Astyanax mexicanus: one gene and its partner. The protein of the gene in region 2 interacts with the protein of the main gene of each other region in a biochemical or structural test. Links are inferred from orthologs where the notes say so. Each region holds a gene or a part of one and is shown on either strand. Other genes may lie near its edges.

Region 1 (10,615 bases), on a different chromosome or scaffold from region 2:
TGATGCTGTTTAGTAATGATTGGTAGTAGTTGGTAGCAGTTAGAATAGAGGCGGAGTCTCTGGCTTCACTTGAACTTACTCTCCTAGTGTCTAGAGCAGTACTAGCAACAGGGAGAATCCTAGTGAATGGGTTTGATAATCAAAGAGATAAACCAGTGTGCTCAGGGTATGTCAATTCTTATCTTTTTGATCTCATTTAAGCTCTTATCTCCACTGAGACAAAGCAGCTGATGATGTTCCTCTCTTTATCTCCTCACAGTATCACAGCTACCATTGCCTGCAACATGGATCTTACCAAATACCCGATGGACAGACAAGTGTGTACCCTGCAGCTGGAGAGCTGTGAGTGTCTGTAATGCCAGTTTTTATACTGTGACTCTCAGAGCAGATGATCTTTGCTCATTTAGCTGTTGTAATTAAGTACATTAATTTTGTGCAAAACAAGAACATCAGTAATAATAATGATAACAGCTAATAATATTTTCTTTTCTATATTTGATATTTTATTTTTGGCTATTGTTGGTGACTTCTAAAACTTTAACAAAGCATCACTTATTAACTAGGCTTAGTTCTATTGAGTTTGACAGCAGAAGGGCATGCCAAAAGTCATGGAATAGCAGTATGTAACTTGTTCAGGAAGTGCATCTTCAGGAGACGGCCCAAGAACACCCACACCTACACACATATATATATATATATATATATATATATATATATATGTGGTGAGGTGTTATCTTGTGAGTAAGGAACACATTGGTTTAACAAGGCCTAATGCCTAATAGTGAACTTTTCATAGGCATTTCAAGGTATTTTTTACTACAAAAATGCAAATCATTAATTTTACACTGCATATAATTTATGATTTATTTCCAACCTGCAGATTCTCCCAAAGTGTCTCCAAAAATATTTGAAACTTTTAATACATGGTGGTTTAGTGGTTAGCATGTTCACCTTCCAGTGGTGAGGTCCTGGGTTCAAGTCCCTATATGGATGGGGATCATGTAAATATCATATTTTAAATTTCCCCCAAAATTTAATACTCTAAAAATTGCCCTGATGTGTGAATGTGTGTGTGACTGTATGCCCAGACATGAATTGACAATGAATGTTTTGGCTCCTCAGTGCCTGGTATACGGTTGTTTCCGGTTGAGAGTATGCTGTGCACGATTGGCTGCTTCTTCTCACGGGTGTGTGTTGAGTGTGTGTAGAATTTAGTTATAAGAAAATGTAATTAAGTGGCGAAAAGGCGAAAAGTAATTTAGGGTTATTTCTATTGGTCCGTCTTTAATAAAACAGGACCACTATTAATTTAAAATAAAAAAAAGATGTTCCAACAGTGACTATAAGCTTTATGTGTGTGTGTGTGTGTGTGTGTGTGTGTGTGTGTTTAGGGGGCTATAATCTGCAGGACGTGGTGTTTTACTGGACTCGAGGGAATGACTCTGTGAAGGGTTTGGACACACTCCGTCTGGCTCAGTACAGCGTAGAGAGCTATCACACCACTGTGTCTGAGGCCGTGTATGAAACAGGTAAACTGAATTATTCATCATTAATTCATTAATTCAATTCATTTTTACAGTTAAATGAGTCTGTATGATGTAGATTATTCCATCTAATCGATCAACTAGTTAATCAGTCAGTCAGTTCCACTGTGGCTGTGTATTGGTAATATTCAGCGTTACTGTATTGACTCTGTGTGCAGGTTCTTACCCGAAGCTGGTGCTGCACTTCTCTCTGCGGAGAAACGTTCTGTTCTTTATCCTGGAGACGTACGTCCCGTCCACCCTGCTGGTGGTTCTGTCCTGGGTGTCTTTCTGGATCAGCCAGTCCTCAGTTCCTGCTCGAACCTGTATAGGTGAGATTTTTACATTTCCTTTTTAATTTTGCCATTTTTAAATAAATTAAAGCAACCTATATAAACTCCTCTTAAAGCTAATATCGGTTGCTTAAAAAAAAAAAAAAAAAAATCCAGTCAAAAGTTTTTATTATTTTTACATTTTCTGAATTGCAGATTAATACTCATCATCCAAACTATTAAGAAAGACGGTAACACTTTATTTTAAGGAACACAAATTAGGCGTTTATTAATGTGTTATTATTTGCTTAATAAAGCCTTAATTAGACATTTGTAAATGATTTATTCACTACTTATTAGGCTTTATTCTGTGTTATTAAGTGTTATTGGTGCTTAATTAGGGGTCTGTGATTGATTAAATATTTATTCAGTTCTTTTTAGCGTGTAATTAGTGATGAACAGAAGCTCACTTTACAATATGGTGCACATCTTGGTCTATTACTGACTTATTAACCCCTTAATAGCTCAATAAACTTCAGTACAGCCATAACCTTACCATAAACTCACATAGATCAAACTGCTGCCAATTATAATAACACTAATAACATGTAGAATTAGCTAATAATTAATGCTTAATAATCTGATTAACAGGGTGCTGACATAACTGTTTATTGTGCACTATAAGAAATAATACAGCTATTATTAATAATTTCCACATAATAGACCCCTAATTCAGCACCAATAACACTTATGACACAGAATAAAGCCTCATAATTAGTGAATAAATAATTTACAAATGTCTAATTAAAGCAAATAACAAGACATTAATAAGCGCCTAATTTGTGTTCCTTAAAATAAAGTGTTACCAGAAATACATATGAAATTATTTTATAAATGAAAAATTGTAAAAAATGTTTACATTTTAACTTAAATTAGACCCTTTATTTCAGTCAGTTTTATGAGGATGATCACCTAGAATTTCAGGCTTTCAGTTAACAGCTGTGCCGAACTCATCAATAGTTAATTACTTCAATTTCTTGCCTCTTAAAGTGTTTGAGAGCATCAGTTGTAAAGTTGTGAAGAGGTAGAGTTGGTGATCTATTATCTATTATATGTATTTTTCACAGGAGTGACCACAGTTCTGACGATGACGACTCTGATGATGGGTGCCAGGACATCACTGCCCAACGCCAACTGCTTCATCAAGGCCATAGATGTCTATCTTGGTATTTGCTTCACCTTCATCTTCGGAGCTCTGCTGGAGTACGCCTGTGCACATTTCTGCACCATGCAGCACCAAACTATTCTAGATGTACAGAGGGTAAGTGTTCTGTGTATATTTTACATATATAAATATTTATTACACACAGAGTGATCTATTTTAAGTCTTTATTTATTTTATTGTTGATTATTATGGCTTACAGCCAATGAAAACCTAAAAATCAGTGTCTCAGAAAATTTTAACATTATATACCACCAATTGGGAAAACACTGCACTGACTTTGGACTTGATAATAAAACACAGTGGATCAACACCAGCAGATGACAGACATGTCTCTCCAAACCATCACTGATCATCAGTAAATTTTACATTTCATTTGTAAATCAAGAGATCAGAGTCTGGAGGAAGAGTGGAGAGACACACCGTCCAAGCTGCTCGAGGTCTAGTGTGAAGTTTCCACCAATCAGTGATGGTTTGGAGAGACATGTCTGTCATCTGCTGGTGTTGATCCACTGTGTTTTATTATCAAGTCTAAAGTCAGTGCAGTTTTGTTTTCCCACAAAATCTTACAGCACTTCATGCTTCCCTCTGCTACTGACAACTTTTATAGAGATGCGGATTTCATTTTCCAGCAGGAATTGGCACACTGCCCACACTGCTAAAAAGTATAAATTGGTCTTATATAATAATCATTTTTATTTTATTTTTGGCTGTAAGGCACAATCATCAACAATGAAATAAATACATGCCTAAAATAGATACATTTGTGGGTAATAGTATTATCTATATAATATATGAGTTTCACATTTTAAACTGAATTATTGAAATAAAATAACTTTTCAAGTATTTTCTATTTTTTCTTAAAGACATAAACCATTAAAAATGACAATTACATTTGTTTTATTATGACAATTCAATGCTTTAAAGTATAACTTACTACAATTTTGTTTACTTATATTATTCACTTTGTCTCAGGAGCTTCTGAAGGAGTTTGAGGAGTCGAATGGAAACGGCACCATCCAATTAGTGACGTCCACCACACCCAACAAAGCCCTGAGCAAAGAAACACAGCCAGAGATGAGCGAGCAGTCTGTGCAGTCTGTGCAGTCTGAGGGAGACGAGCAAACAGAGAATAAGCAGGGGAACGGCTGTGGTCTGTCCTCGGTGAAGCAGGCGTCGCGCAGGGCGGCGTCCATGATGAGCGTGGAGAACCCCCACAACATCGACCGCCACTCCCGCACCCTGTTCCCTGTGGCGTTTCTCCTGGTCAACATCTTATACTGGCTGTATTACCTTTTCATCTAATCAAACAGACGCACTGGACTCATCTACGCACAATGGCCTAGTGAACCCGGCGACTCCGAGGACTAAACTCACGACTGAAAACACTCTTTAAGTCTTTAAGTGCCCTGTAATGCTGAACTGGACCAGCAGTCCATTCAAACAACAGACGACGACAACGTAGACAACAGATCACACAAATCAAACACAAGCACAAAGGAAAAAATTCAGTGACTATTCAGTATTTTTGTTGTTGTTGGCTTCCATATAATATATATATATAATGGCCTTCATGTTTCTACATCGTTAAAAATGTATACAGTTATTTATTTATTTATTTATTTATTGCAAGATTGAGCATAGGGAATCTGATTGTTATTGGCTGATAAATTCCATGTGTATGCTGTTTGTGCACTTCTGTATAGGCTGCAATATGATTCATTTATTAATACTTATTAAACTATCAATCGACTTACTGTTTGTTTGCTTGAATTTTTGGGGTTTTATTGACTTTCACCCAGAGACGGTTTATAGAGAAACTGCCCATTTCCCATCTCCATTATTATCACAGAAAATCATACCAATGAGTTAAATGTTGTTGAATGGAGCTTAAATGCTAAGCACTTATTTAAAAATAGTAACTAACTACTTATCTAATGTATTTCATTAATTTTGGGAAGTAAATTTATGTATTTCTCTAAATAATCAAAGAAAACATACCTGTATTTTTCCATTTTTTGTACAGTAGCATTACTGCAACTGTGAGCTGATTGGTGCTGTAATGTTGCTTATATGCTGAATATTGGCGGTTATGGCAGTTTTGTTTGCATTTTGCCGTTTCTGACTCTTATTTCAGGTGTTTAAAGGGTTACTTAACCTTCTGATTTTTGCTGACTTCACCCTCAGCTTAAATTTAAAAAAGGCAAAAAATGGGAGGGGAAGTTTGGGAGGGGCACTGAGTGATGTATGGGTTTAGAGGTGGGGCAGGAGGGAGAGCTGATTGGCTGAGCTGCAGCAGCAGGAAACCTCTGGATGTCAGCAGGGGGGTCATATTATTGATAGACTGATCTGCATATTGTGATGTGTCTGCGGAAATTACCACAGTAAAAGCATTTTTTAAAGGAGGATGAAAACTGACATGAGTATAAATAAACAAATGCACATATAAATGAAGGAGTGATTAAATAAATAAATAAATGTATAGATAAATACATGAATTAATAAATACATTTTATGTATTTATAGATTTATTAATTTACGTATTTCTACATTTATTTATTTATTTTTTTCTGCTTTTATTTATATATTAATTAATTTATTTCAATTTGCGTTTCATTTGCATTAGAGCAGTAAGAAACCAGTTGCTTTCGTCTGATTCAGCAGTTGACCAATCCTGCTTTAGAGCTACCTAATTAACATACAAATGCAGAAATACTGAAATAAATGAAAAGTGGAAATAAATAAATAAATAAATAAATAAATAATAAATAATATATGAAGAAATGTGGAAATACATGAATAAATAAATGTTCAAATGTTGAAACAAATAAATAAATGTAGAATAAATTAATATTGACGCATTAAAATATGGAAATAATTATTTAATTATAAAATGATATATTATAAAATTAATTATAATTTTAAGTGTGTCGTTTTTCAACATGTATTTATTAATTTATTTATCTCTACAACTATTTATGCGTGTGTTCATGTTTTTATATATTTATTCATGTTATATATATATGTGCATTTATTTATTTATACGTATGTCATTTTTTTGTCGTCCGTATTTTTTAAAGGTTAGTAAATGTTTATAAAAAAAAATAATCAGGACAGGTATGCTTTTTTACTTTAAAAGAACACATTTCTGCTATTAATATAATAAATAGAATTTATGGTATATAATGGCTGTATAAACTCGCAGTGGTGTGATCTGGCCCCAGGGCGGCAGCACCGCAGAATAAACAGAGCTGAACACAGCGCGGCGGAAGAGCGGCGGAGCAGCAGCCAATCAGGAGGCGAGTTGGGGTTTAAAACCGGGAAAGTTGAAACCAAAACAAGTCCGTTTATTTACTGAGAGAAACCTGACTAATCTACAGAGAGAAAACTGCGATTTATTGCGAAATTTCTGCGCTTTATCGGGGATTATCCGCTGTTTGGTAAGTTTACAGACATAGTTTATCATCGTGTTGATGTGTGTAGCTGTGTGTTATGCTGTTATTGAGTGTTTTTGAGGTGTATTCTGGGTGAGTTTAGTGGGAAACAGTTAACGTAGTATCTCTATAAACTTAATTACTTATTAACTTATTATTTAATTACTTTAGATGACTTTACCTCATTTTTCCAGCAATATTCTCTCTGTTTTTAAATTGAGACAGTCTGTAAACAAACTAGCTTAAGTTATATGTAAAAAATAGTTTCCTTGCCTATTAATACAGACAATAAAATCATGTTAGCTAACGTTACTACTTTTAAGTTTACATACAGATGTAACTTAAAGCCTAAAATCATTATTCTTAGAGAAAGTCATATATTAAGATAACGTTTAATATGTTACATAGCTAAATTTGACTTTATTATTCCCACATCAGGGATTTTTTTTTTTCCAGCAGAACGAAAAAATGTATAAAAATAGGAGACCAACATAAAAATAATAAGTTCTTAGATTTTTACCAAATTGAAAACCTCTGGAATATAAGCAAGAGGAAGATGGATGATCACAAGCCATAAAACCTGAAAAACTGAACTGCTTGAATAGATTTTTGCACCAGGAGTAAAGCAGCATAAAGTTATCCAAAAGCAGTGTGTAAGACTGGTGGAGGAGAACATGCAAATGAATGAAAACTGTGGTTAAAAACCAGGGTTATTTTACCAAATAATAATTTTTGAACTCCTAACTTTATGAATATGAACGTATTTTTCTTTTTGCATTATTTGAGGTCTGAACGCTCTGCATCTTTTTATTTTGTTATTTCAGCTATTTCAATTTTTTTTTTTTTTGCAAATAAATGCTCTAATTGACAACATTTTTATTTGGTATTTGGGAGAAATGTTGTCCGTAGTTTATAGAATAAAACAACAATGTTCATTTTACTCGAACTTATAGCCTAGTTAAGATGTAGCTAACCTACTACACATGGGGCAAGTACGGTGGCCGAGAAAGCCCAGCGCAGTGCAAATTGAAAAGCGCTGCAAAAGCACAAAACACATCCATCAAAATTACAACACAGGCGCAGCAAATAGAAAAACGCGCTGCAAATAGAACCACAACACAACGGAAGTGAGTCACAACACAACGGAATTTTCCCGGGGGACCTTAAAAGATGCTGTACCAGCTGTATACAAAGGACAATAAGTGGCAAACAAGCTTCTGAAAAGTAAGTTATGTTTATTACCTGTGATTACCACGGTTGTGTGCATATTATTAAAAGTTCTGCTTCACAAAACGCCTTGTTTGCCACTTATTGTCCTTTGTACACATAGTGAAGTCCGAGACGTTACTGAAGACGCAGCTTAGCTGGTATATCTTTTAAGGTCCCCCGGGAAAATTCCGTTGTGTTGTGACTCACTTCCGTTGTGTTGTGGTTCTATTTGCAGCGCGTTTTTCTAGTTGCAGCGCCTGTGTTGTAATTTTGATGGATGTGTTTTGTGCTTTTGCAGCGCTTTTCAATTTGCACTGCGTTGGGCTTTCTCGGCCACCGTAGAGGCAAGACCATAACATAAAGAGCCACAGCCAGCTTTAACTGTATGGGAAAACTCTTTAATGGAAGAAGTGTCCTTTATGTCCATTATTTTAATCCAACGTGTGCCTTATACTATGAAATGTGGGACAAGGCAGTATAACATTTAAATGTAGGTTAACATTGTCTTATTTCATATAGTCTTTTAGTACTAGTAGCGAAGTTGCTTTATTTATACATACATACATACATACATACATACACACATACATACAGTGTATGTGTGTATGTATGTATATATATGTATATATGTGTGCTGTTTTCCTGTACTTTGCGATTACTTTGAAACTAATAAACATAACAAAATAATAACTACAAGAATAAAAAGAACCGGTGTCTTGTCAATGTGTGCTACATTGTCAAACCGTGCTACTGCAGTGTTTATTTAAAGGTAAAAATATTGGCTGGCTAGATTATTCAGAAATTATTGTAGTTAATTTTTGTGATTTGTTCACTTGTTCTAAGTATTTCTTTTAAATATTCTTCTTTTAGTGAAACACCATGGATACCATGATTTACCTCGACCAAGAAAACGGCAGGCTCACCGCTCCCAACCTCAAATCTCGACAGAGGCTTCAGTCTGCACCTGGTGAGCTTAGATACACCTGGGAATGAAGTGCTCATAAAGTGAAATTTTGCTCACTATAGTAACAACACCAAGGACCAGTGCCTGGTTGCATGAAAGGCTTTAATGCTCTTAATGATCATCCCTTGTTGATAAGTGTGTTGCCTAAGAAGTTATCTGAGGGCTTTCTTAAGGGAACCTTTTAATCCATTAAATGTTTCCTTGAGTATCAAATTTACAGTGTGTGAAAATGGGACCCAAAACCTCACTTTAACTCCCGAAAAACTGAGTTACTGAGATGTATTTATTTATTTATTTGTTTATTTGTTTGTTTTAATTGATAGATTAAGCTGTATAGATATCTGTATAGATACCATTATTAATCTATTAGGTAGAATGCCACAAGTTCAATTCAGAGAGTTAAAGGTCATATAATATAATATAATATAATATAATATAATATAATATAATATAATATATAATTTGTAAGATTGGTCTGAAAAGTTGCTAAATCTACTGATCAAATTGCTAAATAAACAACACTGGCTGTCTAACAGCACTAGACTTATGATTTATGCAACCTTGTACAGATGCCTGGATGCTAAAGTCATATGTCTAACTTATTTAAAATAATTGGATGTATTGTATTTACCAAATTGCAGTATTTAAATAATAGATAATAAAGGATAATATACGGTCACTCCTATAATTCATGTATTGTAGCCCTTAGTGTGTCACACATGCACATTTAATGAATTTAATTGATCTGATTCCTTTTCTGATCCTGATCAGTTTCCTTTTTAATTTTTACAGAACAGGTTCTGAAAACTCCTCTACACCTGAAGAGCCGTCTTGGTGGATCTGTACAGTCGGCCCGTAAAGCTTTGGGAACAGTTAACAAGATTGTGTCCACCTCAGCAGTCTCTCAGAAAGGTGAAGCGCAGGTTAAACCTGTTGAAGCCCAGGTTGGTTACTTGTTTTTATTTTTTTTATATATAAAATCTCAGTGCAGAATCAGTTATTTGCAGAATTCTTAGATTTTAATTTCTTTTTCCTCCTTTTTTTTTCCTTGTTCCAGCAATGCAAAGCTCCTTCTCAGCCTGTTGGTGAAGATTATCCTGAAATTGAGAAGTTTTTCCCGTACAACCCCAGTGGTAGGTTTCTTTTGCAGACTGGTTATATTTAGGCCGGTCACCATAATTATCAATTTATGTACATGGCCTCGGATTTTGTCTTGATGAAATCAGCTGATATTTTGACTTTGTTTAAGCTGACTGGGTTTATCTTATTCATCTGACATTTACGTTTCTATACCTGAAAATTCTAATTGTATTTTTTTTAATGCCCTTTGCAAGTGTGTAGTTGCTTTATTATGCATTGTAGAATACAGCATGTAGTGATGCATGTGTCAAAAACCCATTAATGCATAAGATACCAGATCTTATATTGATGCCAATTTTAAAATTTAATCAGAAAATGAGGGAACACAGTTAAAAGAAGCCACTTTTATCTCCAGCACAAACTTGGTGCTCCTACACTCACTGTCTTTTCATTTTGGCTCAAGTCCTTAAATAACACATACTGAGTACATCACTAGAGCAGTGTGTGACTCTGTTCCTTCATCTGACTTTATTTACAGAATATTTGAGTGCTTTAAGGTTAATGCTAAAGGAAAAAAAAAAAAAAAAAAAGCTAAAGAGAAGTCTAAAATCTCATGTGTTGCTGTTATTTCTGGTGTAAAAAAAAAACAAAAAAAAAAAACATCTGAAATAAATCAAATTATGATTGGCCTTCTTAAATGTTTATGTAATTATCAATTTTGGTATAAATTGCTTATTATTGCTTTTATTGCTTATATAAATGAAACTGTTCGTAATACTCCACGCACAGATATTTTAAACTCCTTTGAGTTATAAGCTAATGCAAAATAAGATTTTGATAAATCTAATTCAAAATCACACTAAAATGAACGGCTATAGTCTTACGTAATTTGGTAATTTTGGTAAAAATTG
Region 2 (10,241 bases):
TGTAAGACTGCCCACAATCTGCCGAACTGTGTCCTCACGGGTCCTGCCCACATCAGAAAACAAAGCATTTACAAGCAGAACTCAGTACTTTGCAATGCTGATATGCTAAGAAGAGGAAGAATTACACAGACAATGCCTGAAAACTCTAAATAAATGATATGGTATATTGCATGCTGGCTGCATGCAATTCAAAACATAACATTTCTCCTATTAAAACCAATAGCAAATGTCTATACAGAAAGGATGAAGAAAAATGTCTGAAATGTCATTTCAGAAGTTTTACAGTAAAATGCTGGTAAAAATAAACAGATGAACATTTTCATAATTTCAGAACTGTTCCCCTACTTGGCTTAAGCTTAAAGGTAAAGTGCAGCGGAAGCAAACCGGAGCTAAGTCTAACCTGAGGTACTTGCGGATCGGTTGGCAGGCCACTTGCAGGATGACCATGGATGGGTCCAGTTCTCGTAAAGCTTTAATGGCCGAAATGTATACAGTGATGATGTCTGATGTGTGGACTCCTGCAGTGGCAAGAACAAGCAGAAAACTAGTAGAAAACTTAAAAAAAAAATTAATATTTAAGGTTAATGAGATATAAAATCATGGAATTAGAATGTACTGACTTCAGTGTATCATATTGTGCTGTATGGTTTTCTCATTATGAGTACATATAGAGTACATTTTGTTTATTAGAGTCATTTAAGGAAAATATTTTGGATATATTTAAGCCTGTCAGTATATCACTTTTTGTCTGGATGATTATTTGATGTTCCAGAAATTACTGCCACAAACAATATTATTGTAATTTTTATAATTATAATAGCCTAATAATGTCATTTTAAATCTTTTAAAGAGCAACAACCTTTTAATTATTAAGAATATTTTAACTAAAATATAGATAGAGATATATAGACAGACAGACCAAAATAAAACAATAAATGTGTTTAAATAAGGCCATTAATGTCATTTTCAGTTATAATGCACACCACCACCCCTGACCTGGGTGCAGCAGACGTGTCTCAAAAGCGGACTTGAGTGAGGTGAGCAGTTGCTGTCTCTGATTGGTCCGCTCCAGGCAGAACTTTAAGTCTTCAATGGCAGGGATGGACTCCGGGAAATCTTAAGTAGGCAAAAGAGTAAAAGAGTGGAAAAAATGAATGAATAATTAAAAGACTAACGGCTAGCTTAATATATGAATAAACTCATATGTTACATGAATATATGAATTGTCATTATAGCTACTGAATACTCATATAATTCTTTAGAAATATTATTAATTAATTTAACCATACACATCTTGATTCAAAGTAAACCCAAAAGAACTGTGACAGTCACAGGCCCTTTAAAACTTGTGTAAGGTTTCTTACAGCACTTACAGCATTTACTTTATATACTGAACGACCTGAGAGCATCACAGCACAGTTGGAAATTGTGTGATCAAGTGACCTTATTTACAGAATGTAGGAGTGCTAAGTTAGTGCTTGAGTTAAAAGTAACTATTCTTAAATGTGTATATTTTTTAAAAAAAGGTCATTTGACTTTTTACCTCGAATGATGCTGAAAAGCTCATCGATCCTCATGTTAACGTAAATGCGGCAAAAGAACTGGTGCATGTGGCAGCGCCAGCGTTGGAGGATGGCACTGCCAGGCTGGTCAGGTTTTCCTTTGGCAGCTACAGAATCAGTGCCAGCCTCGTCCACTTCACTGGCAAAGACTCTGCTCAGCCAGCCGAGCACCTGCTCCAACCACTAAAGCACAAACAGAGGACACTAATGTGCAAGAATTTATAACATTTTCAACAATAACATTTTCATGTTACTGTATTTAAAAAAGCTGTTATTTATGTCTCTGGTGTCATTTATTAGGACAGTATAATCTATTAATATAACACAGTTATTATTTAATAATAAAGAGTATAAAAAAACCCTCAAATTTCTGCAGATCTTTAAGTATAGGTTTTCATGGGATGAAACTGACAAAATGACACTGACACAATGAAGAGTAGTCTGTGTGTAGATTATATGACAGTGTATTTATTCTTCCCTCAAAATAACTCAATAACATTTCGTTTAGACATTAATGGCTGTACGTTGAGTTATTTTGAGGGAAGAATAAACTTACACTGTTATATAATCTATACACAGACAAAATGACACTGACACAATGAAGAGTAGTCTGTTTCATCCCATGAAAAGATATACTTAAATATCTGCAAAACTGTGAGGAATAACAAACATAGATTGTTCAGTCCTTAAAACAAAACAACAAATTGACCATTAAAATATATGCCAGAATCCTCATACTTCATTGAAGTCTGCCAGAAAGGAATTCTCATATTCTCCCCGGCACCGCTGCTCCATCCTCTCCTCGATCAGTCGGTGCAGAATGCTGGTCACTGCTTCCGAGCTAACCCTCCCCAAGAGCTGCAGTCTGGATCTGCCACACACCATTATAACAACAACACATAAAAAGTTACATCACAGCACCCAATGCTTGTACATCTGTATGGCAAATTCTTCTTTTCCAGCATGGAATATGTAATCATATTGATGTCTTCTCTTTTTACCATGGTGCTGTAGCAGAACTATATCCCACCCATGTAAATTACATTACACTATATTACAAAACAATGCAATCCCAATATTCCTGCACTCACAGGATGTGGCTAAGCTCCTGCAGCTGCTCCAGGGCCTCCTTGCACCAGCACAGCTGAGGTGGGGTTGCACAGCCTGGACAAACACAGGCCCCGTCAGCCTCCTCTGCTCCCTGCTCCACCTCCAGACCCTCTCCCACCTGGCTCATGTGCACAGAGAAGGTGCGACTGTAGAACTCCAGCACCCTCTTTTGGAGCACTGGCTGAGGAGAAAAGAGGAGGATAGCACGAATGACCGAGAAGGCCCTCTCTCGGAGCCCATGGGCTCCAGGGCCCACCAGACCCCCACGACCTTCATCCTGCCAAGACCCAAGCTGCTCAAGCCCACCTGGAAGTTTAGAAACAGATGAGAAAAAGGAAAGATGATGAACGGTGATGAATAATGAATAATAATAAGGTTTGTTCACCTGCAACTGAATCAGCACATTTCTGACAAAAATTGCAAGCATTCAAGCACTGCAATCTCCATTTGATTTAGAACAGTACCTACAAAAACAGAAGAAAACATAGCTTACCAAGAAATGGTTCAAGGCGCAGCAGCAGAGTCCTGAACGCATCTAGCAAACATCTTGCTCTGTCTTTCTCCTGTGAATCTCCTTTAGGCTGCTCTAAATTACTCCAGAACTCCGGAGCCACATCAGTGGTCAAACGAACCTGCAAGGTCTCCAGCAGCCAGCCCTCCACATACTGAGCCAGCCCTTGTTCACACAGCAGAGCCAGAGCATCAGAAATAGTGTCATCAGGAACTGAAGGCGGTACTGCAGGAGAAACCTACAGGATGCAGATGTGAGTTAATTTTTTTTTTTCTACTATTTTTTTAAACATTGTATATGTGTATACATTTAAGATATAACAATTAAGGGACACGTGAAATTACAAAGTAAACAAAAAAGTGTTTGTCCTCCACAATCTCCTGGTCTAAACCTGATTAACTAAGATGGCAATTTGGGATGATCTGGAGCTTTACAGTATGAAGGAAAAGCAGTAACTATTGTTCAGCCCCTCCAGAAACTCCTTCAAGACGTTGAGAAAACTATTCCAGGTGACTCTCCCTCATAAAGACCCTGAGATTAAAATACTGTACCAAGAGTGTGCAGATCTGTCATCAAAGCTAAATGTGGTACTTATAAAACATATACTGGTTTGTTTAACACTTTCAATTTAGAAAATATTTCAGAATATGTTCCTGTATAGCTTTAATATTGTCTTCAATATTACATTTATAATGTAAAAGAAAAAAAATCATAGAAAGAAAAGAAACACATCACGAAAAAATATTTTGTTAACGCAAAAGTGCCCTGAAATATCGTAATATTTTTGTCAAATAGAGCACAATTAGTTGGGATATATTATTCATTGGCTAATGTGTGTTTGTACCAAGCATCTACATTAACATATACGAATGTAAATATACATTTGCAAGCATAAAACGCTTACACCTCCAAAACTATTAGAATTGAAAGAGCAAAAACTTGACAAAACTTGACTGTTCTTGCATCACAACATATATATAACTGTAAACTGGAGATCAGTGCAGCCAGCTGACCCTGTCTTTGTGCTGTACTGCAGGATGTTTACACTATTAGCAGGCTAGCTAGCTAACCTAGACTGTATGTATCAGATTAAGAATAGCCCGAACTACATTCCTACATCATAATAATAAACGTTACTCAGCTCAGTGATAACCCTGAGGACTGTCAGTGCCTATATATCTGCACAGCAGCAGCTCACCAGAGCAGCGGTGACCGCGGCCCAGGCTGCAGGCAGACCCGGGGGAACCAGCACCGCCCCGCCGTCCTTCATTCCCCCAGCTCCGCGGGTCCGACCACCGCCTACAAACATACAGCCCGCCGTCCCCGCAGCATTTCTACCGAACAGCCCGCGCCCCGAGGTTCTGTACCGCCGTGTGCAGTGATTACAGCGGCTTAGCTTCAGCAACTCGAGCTATACGATCTCCATTAGCTCTGGTTCTCCTGCTGCTGCTGTTTATTTCCGCGCTCTTCTTCAAGCTGCTGTCCCTCAGTGATGACGTCCACGACCCGATGACGCTGAAAAGGCTGTATTTTTTTATCCACAGGAAATTACATGTCTAAATGTGCACACAAAATACATTTTATTGTTAAACACAGTGTCTTGTACATAGACCTACTTGCAAATGTAAGATATGTGACTAAAAACATTCATAAAAACTAATTGGAACACTGAAAAAATACCATTTGTTACCTGTATCCCCACTTATTATAACCTTACCATAAAATATACAGCTCTGGAAAATATTAAGCAGCTCCAACTTGTTGCAAATGTGGTAAAATGAAAAAAGCTTAGATTTTTCTTTTCACAGTTTTTTATTTTACATTTGACTGGGAAATACCTGTATGATAATGAAAGTGAAATGGCAAAAGGCCATTTTAAATTGCAAATGAAGGGTTTTAATTTTGTTTGTAATTTTTGCCATTATATTTTCACACGTTTTGAGAAACAAGTATGCAAAATGGATTTACATCCTATACAACAGTGCTGATCAATCCTTCGGTCTCTATTGAAAACAAAACTGGACAAAATAAAAACTTGATTAGGTAGCTATTGTATACAAGCTTTTACGATTTACAAATGCCAAAGCTATGAAGTAAAACCATGTTGAGTAAAAAAATCTTTATATATTTCTATTTAGCAACCTAGAAAAATGAGAATAGCTTCAGAAAGGAATATTAATCTATTATAAATACATATTTAAATAGATTTCCTGACTAGACAAACCCAGTTTCATGCAAAACTGTTAAAAAAAATAGTTAAAAAAGAAACACTAGCTTAGCCGCGCCCACATCACTGGAAAAAACAAGAGCGTTGTACTTAAATTCAAGGGATAAGATTGTGGAATCATTTGGAGAGTGACGTTAAATATGCTAGAACAATGTATGTGTTAAAAAGAATGATAAAAGTTGGTTTGTTTAAAAAAAATTAAATAGTATAATGTGTATCTATACGAACTGTTGTTTGGGAAGGATTTGATGTTTTTGTTTAGTTTTGTTTTTTTGGTAAATTACTAATGTTTGAAAATATTCTTGGAACAAATGAGGCAGATATTCTAACATTTTTTTTCTTCTTTCTGCTGCATTTGATTTTATTTGTGATTTGTATTTGTATATAGAATTAATTTTGTTTATAATGAAATTAATCAATCTTCTAAAAAAGAATAAAAGCTAATTGATGCAAATGTTATGTACTTTTTATTTTGTATTATTTTTACTGTGTAGAAATGGTTTGTGAAATTAAAGGTCAATATCAAATTTAAAACACAGGCTTCCAGTACAATGGACATAAAAAAAACTATTAGATATTTTAGTTAATTGGATTTAACTGGACGTCATATTAGAGTATTAGATTATTATTTTTTGTGCATTTTTTATTTTATATTTTATATTTATATTTGTATATTTTCATTGTAATATAACGCTGAAAGGTCTGAAGGGGTTAAAGCTGTATTTTATTCCTCTCCAGTCCAGCAGGGGCGGAGTCGCGCTGAACTGCAGTGTCTCCACCCGCCATAAGGCGCGTTATTTCAGGAGGAGAAGAAGAAGAGCTGCAGGCTGAGGTTGTTGTAGAAACAGAAGGAGGCTGGAGTCAGAGGGAGTGAATGGATTCAGCTCAAACTTTCTATTAAGAGTGAAGTTACAGCTGTGCGATAAACTTGTATATACGAGGAGTGTGAGGATTTTAGAGATATCTAACCTATCTTATTTAATCTAACTTTACTTTACTGCTGAGCTGAAACTCAGTACAGTCAGCATGACCCAACAAGGAGCCGCTCTACAGACCTACAACAACGAGCTGGTGAAGTGTGAGTAACTCTACATTAACTCTGTTATATTAATAAAGTCTATTATAGTAATGTAAAACTGTTAAATTAAAGTTCTGACTGTGTTTTACTGGTTGTTTCAGTGACTGTCGGGGTTAATGTTAATGTTGAGCTATGTGAGCTGACAGTTGGTGGACTGAGATTAGCTGAGTTAGATTAAGTAAACTAGGTTAGGTAGTTTTAAGGTAGCTGCTGTCAGACCCAGCCTTACTTTGCAGGCCTTCCATTAAAATTCATGTTATTTAGCTATATATCTTACTATATACAGTACCTTCCAGTCTAACGTTTGTTAAAACATTCCTATATTTATATATTATTTATTTGTATTATTTACTACATTGTAGCATGAGTTATCTTTTACTGAAAAAATACAACATGCTATAATGTTAACAAAATGTGAGGTTTTCATTTATAAACAATTTAAAAAGGCGAAAATTCAGAGACCACTTCAGTTTCTGAATTGGTTTCTCTGATTTTGTTATTTATAGGTTTATGTTTGTGTAAAATGAACATTGTTGTTTTATTCTATAAACTACAGACAACATTTCTCCCATACAAAAATGTCATTTAGAGAATTTATTTGCAGAAAATGAGAAATGGCTGAAATAACAAAAGGATTTAGAGCTTTCAGACCTTAAATAATGCAAAGAAAACAAGTCCATATTCATAAAGTTTAAGATACATTTTTGATGGAATAACCCTATTTTTAATCAGTTTTATGCACCTTGGCATGTTCTCTTCCACCAGTCTTGCACACTGCTTTTGGATAACTTTATGCCAGTCCTGGTTCAAAAATTCAAGCAGTACAGCTTGGTTTGATGGTTTGGGTTGGCCTATATGGTTATATTGATATAATATACACTGCATGAAATAAAATTGCCACCTGGATTTAAGTAAGTAAATGATGTGGGGTTGATGCTGCAGTAGGTCAGGTCTAGGTTAAGCAACAGTATGTGCTGAAAGAATGAGGGCAACTGAGTCCAGACCTTAACCTCATTGAGAATCTTTGGGATGTGCTGAAGAAGGCTTTGTGCAGTGGTCAGACTCTACCATCATCAATGCAAGGTCTTGGTGAAAAATTAATGCAACACTGGATTGAAATAAACATTGTGACATTACAGAAGCTTATTGAAACAATGCCACAGTGAATGTGTGCTGCAATCAAAGAAAAAAAAATTGGTGGTGGTGTTGCCTTTTTTATTTCTTTTTTTGGGCCAGGTAATGTTTACACATGCTTGTTTGGCACACCCCTATACTTAGTACGAGGATTTGCTGTACTATATCAAATAAACTTACACTGTCTGTAACTACTCAGTGTTCATAAAACACTAAAGAACAAAAATCTTATGCATTTATACTACAAACTGAATCATTTATTGCGTATACTGAGTAACAGGTCTTGGAACTAAAATTAAAAAAGGTAGGGTTCAAGAGGTCAGGACAAAGCCAACACACCCACATCCCTCCGTCATTATCACTTTTACATGATTCAGCAAGATGTCTGCTGTGATCTATAAGTAAACAAACTCCCACTGAAGTTCCATTACCTGGACTTTGCAGTAATTAACTGCGTAGATCATGTTGATGCTTTACTTGTCATAGTGTTTGTGGATACTCCTTCCAAAGAATGCATTCAGCTATTTCCAGTTGCACCCAGTGCTGACACAGACGTGCAAGTGCACACAAATATAGCTTGTCTAGTGCCTGTGGAGAAGTATTGCCTATAGAATAGGACAGATAAACATGAACATGTTGGCACCATGCATAAGGGGATGGGATGGATTAGGATGGGGAGTTGTGTGGTCACTGTTCTTGTCACTAAAGGCAATTAAATTCTCACAGCAATGCTCCAAAAGTCTTTCCTGGACAGTAGAGATAATTGTTTCAAAAATTACTTCAAAAAAGCAGAATAAACAAAGAAACAACGACTGAGCAAGATGTCTTCATCGTTTTGGATGTATAGTGGATGTACATTAGGAGTGGGCAATATGGCACTAAAATTATATCATGATATTTTATGATATTTTCGCAATAATGATACTTTTGGCAATATGACAAAACGCTGAATAAAAAAAACAAATATTTCAAGAACACACTACTGCAAAAAAAAAAAAGAAAATATTGTTTTATTATTGAAATTTTATTATTTATTATACAAGAATTTTATCAGATTTGTAACAGAAGTCAATGATCCAGAATGTCATGATATTAATAATGCACTCCAAATATCTCCATATATCCAGGATTAGAGTAAAAGAAATAAATGATACTGGACAGATATAATTTGTCTTTAGTAGATATATAATGGGAAATGAAAGCAGTGTGATTTTTTTTTTTTGTATAAAAACAGTAAAAAAATAAATAAATAAAAAATTGTTATATAATTAGGGGTGGGTGATATGGCACCATATTTCAAGGTATAATATTGTTCACAATTTAAAAAATGTACATGCATTAGATGTGTAAAACCTATTGTAAGAGCAAGTTGTCCATTTATGCTTAATATCACAGTTGTTTCTTCTCAGGTATCGAGGAGCTGTGCTTTAAGAGGGATGAGCTGAATAAGCAGATCCAGCAGGAAGAATCAGAGAAGGCTCGTCTTCAGCACGACATCCGGGTGCTGACTGAGAAGCTGAGCCGGGTGAACGAGAGCCTGGCCCACCGCCTCACGGCTCGAGCTGAATTCGACCGCACCATCGCTGAGACTGAGGCCGCGTACATGAAGGTCAGCATCCAGGCATTTAAAAATAAATAAATAAATACATTTTGTAAATCCTGGACAGTGTTTGAGTCTTATAATTGGCCCAGTAATCCTGGGCCATGTCTACTGTGTGCAGACACTTCTGTGAGAGGATAAGAGCCAGTGAGCCAATCTGACGCAGCTTCTTATTTTGTAAACTGTAGTTGAAAAGAGCTAAATAATATTTATTTACAGTATGTGATTAGGGGTGGGAATCACAGGGCACCTGATTATACAATATTATTATGAGATGTTGCCCACAATAACGATGATGTCACAATACTGTGATTCTGAAATTTTAATGTATATTTCACAGCACTTTGTTACTATATGAAATGGCAGGAATTATGGATTTAATCTTTACTGCAGGTTTACCCTATTTATTTAAATAGCACCACCAGTAACTCAAATTGGGAGCGATTAGAGCACTCATGTTTCAATAGCAGTAACATTTTTTTTCTGGTTATTTATAATTCCTGCAGTATGTAATATATTCATTAAAAAACTGTAGACTGTTTTTTCTTTTTCTTTTTTTAAAGCATGTTGAGTATTTTGAGAAACAATTTCCTTAATTAAATTTATTTTTTTTACGTTTGTTCGACATAATTGTTCTTCTTCTTTCGACAGTGTTTAATAAATAAAAACAATATTTAAATGTGGAATTACTCATTAACCTAACTAATATTCAACTAAAGATTATTTTCTACACTCTTATATGCAGAATCAATTCAGATCAGCTTCATGCGTCAGGTTCAGTCTAGCCAGTCACTTCACAGTTCCAGTTCTCTGCCCCAACACTCCTAATCTAATTGTCAACTGATTTAACAATACTTGCGTACACTGATGAAAGGAAACTGGTCAGGTTAAACTATGGTAAAATGTATTTTCACAAATTTAAATACATTTTCATGATTCACAGTATTTATATTGACACACGTTCAGTCAATATTCATAAGTGATGACAGATTCTTAAAAAACACAATTTAAATACTTTT

Evidence for each region. The genes of interacting proteins can lie anywhere in the genome.
Region 1: the proteins of anapc2 (region 2) and pttg1 form a complex in vitro, tested with the Homo sapiens proteins (2 studies listed by BioGRID, with this or other methods). The link is inferred for Astyanax mexicanus from reciprocal best matches to the Homo sapiens genes ANAPC2 and PTTG1.

What each region holds. Positions count from the first base shown.
Region 1 is NC_064417.1:50,019,902-50,030,516, forward strand, and holds the start of pttg1 (securin), read left to right. Parts: upstream 1-6,301; 5' UTR 6,302-6,457; intron 6,458-8,530; 5' UTR 8,531-8,539; coding exon 8,540-8,627; intron 8,628-9,416; coding exon 9,417-9,568; intron 9,569-9,681; coding exon 9,682-9,757; intron 9,758-10,615. Other genes in the region: gamma-aminobutyric acid receptor subunit pi, read left to right, coding at 260-342, 1,392-1,529, 1,703-1,855, 2,923-3,116, 3,993-4,322. UniProt on the Homo sapiens protein: Regulatory protein, which plays a central role in chromosome stability, in the p53/TP53 pathway, and DNA repair. Probably acts by blocking the action of key proteins.
Region 2 is NC_064408.1:19,790,666-19,800,906, forward strand, and holds the start of anapc2 (anaphase-promoting complex subunit 2), read right to left. Parts: upstream 4,679-10,241; 5' UTR 4,493-4,678; coding exon 4,382-4,492; intron 3,422-4,381; coding exon 3,166-3,421; intron 2,979-3,165; coding exon 2,654-2,978; intron 2,434-2,653; coding exon 2,301-2,433; intron 1,746-2,300; coding exon 1,544-1,745; intron 1,117-1,543; coding exon 997-1,116; intron 519-996; coding exon 401-518; intron 44-400; coding exon 1-43. Other genes in the region: ssna1 (Sjoegren syndrome nuclear autoantigen 1), read left to right, coding at 6,437-6,488, 9,032-9,231. UniProt on the Homo sapiens protein: Together with the RING-H2 protein ANAPC11, constitutes the catalytic component of the anaphase promoting complex/cyclosome (APC/C), a cell cycle-regulated E3 ubiquitin ligase that controls progression through mitosis and the G1 phase of the cell cycle.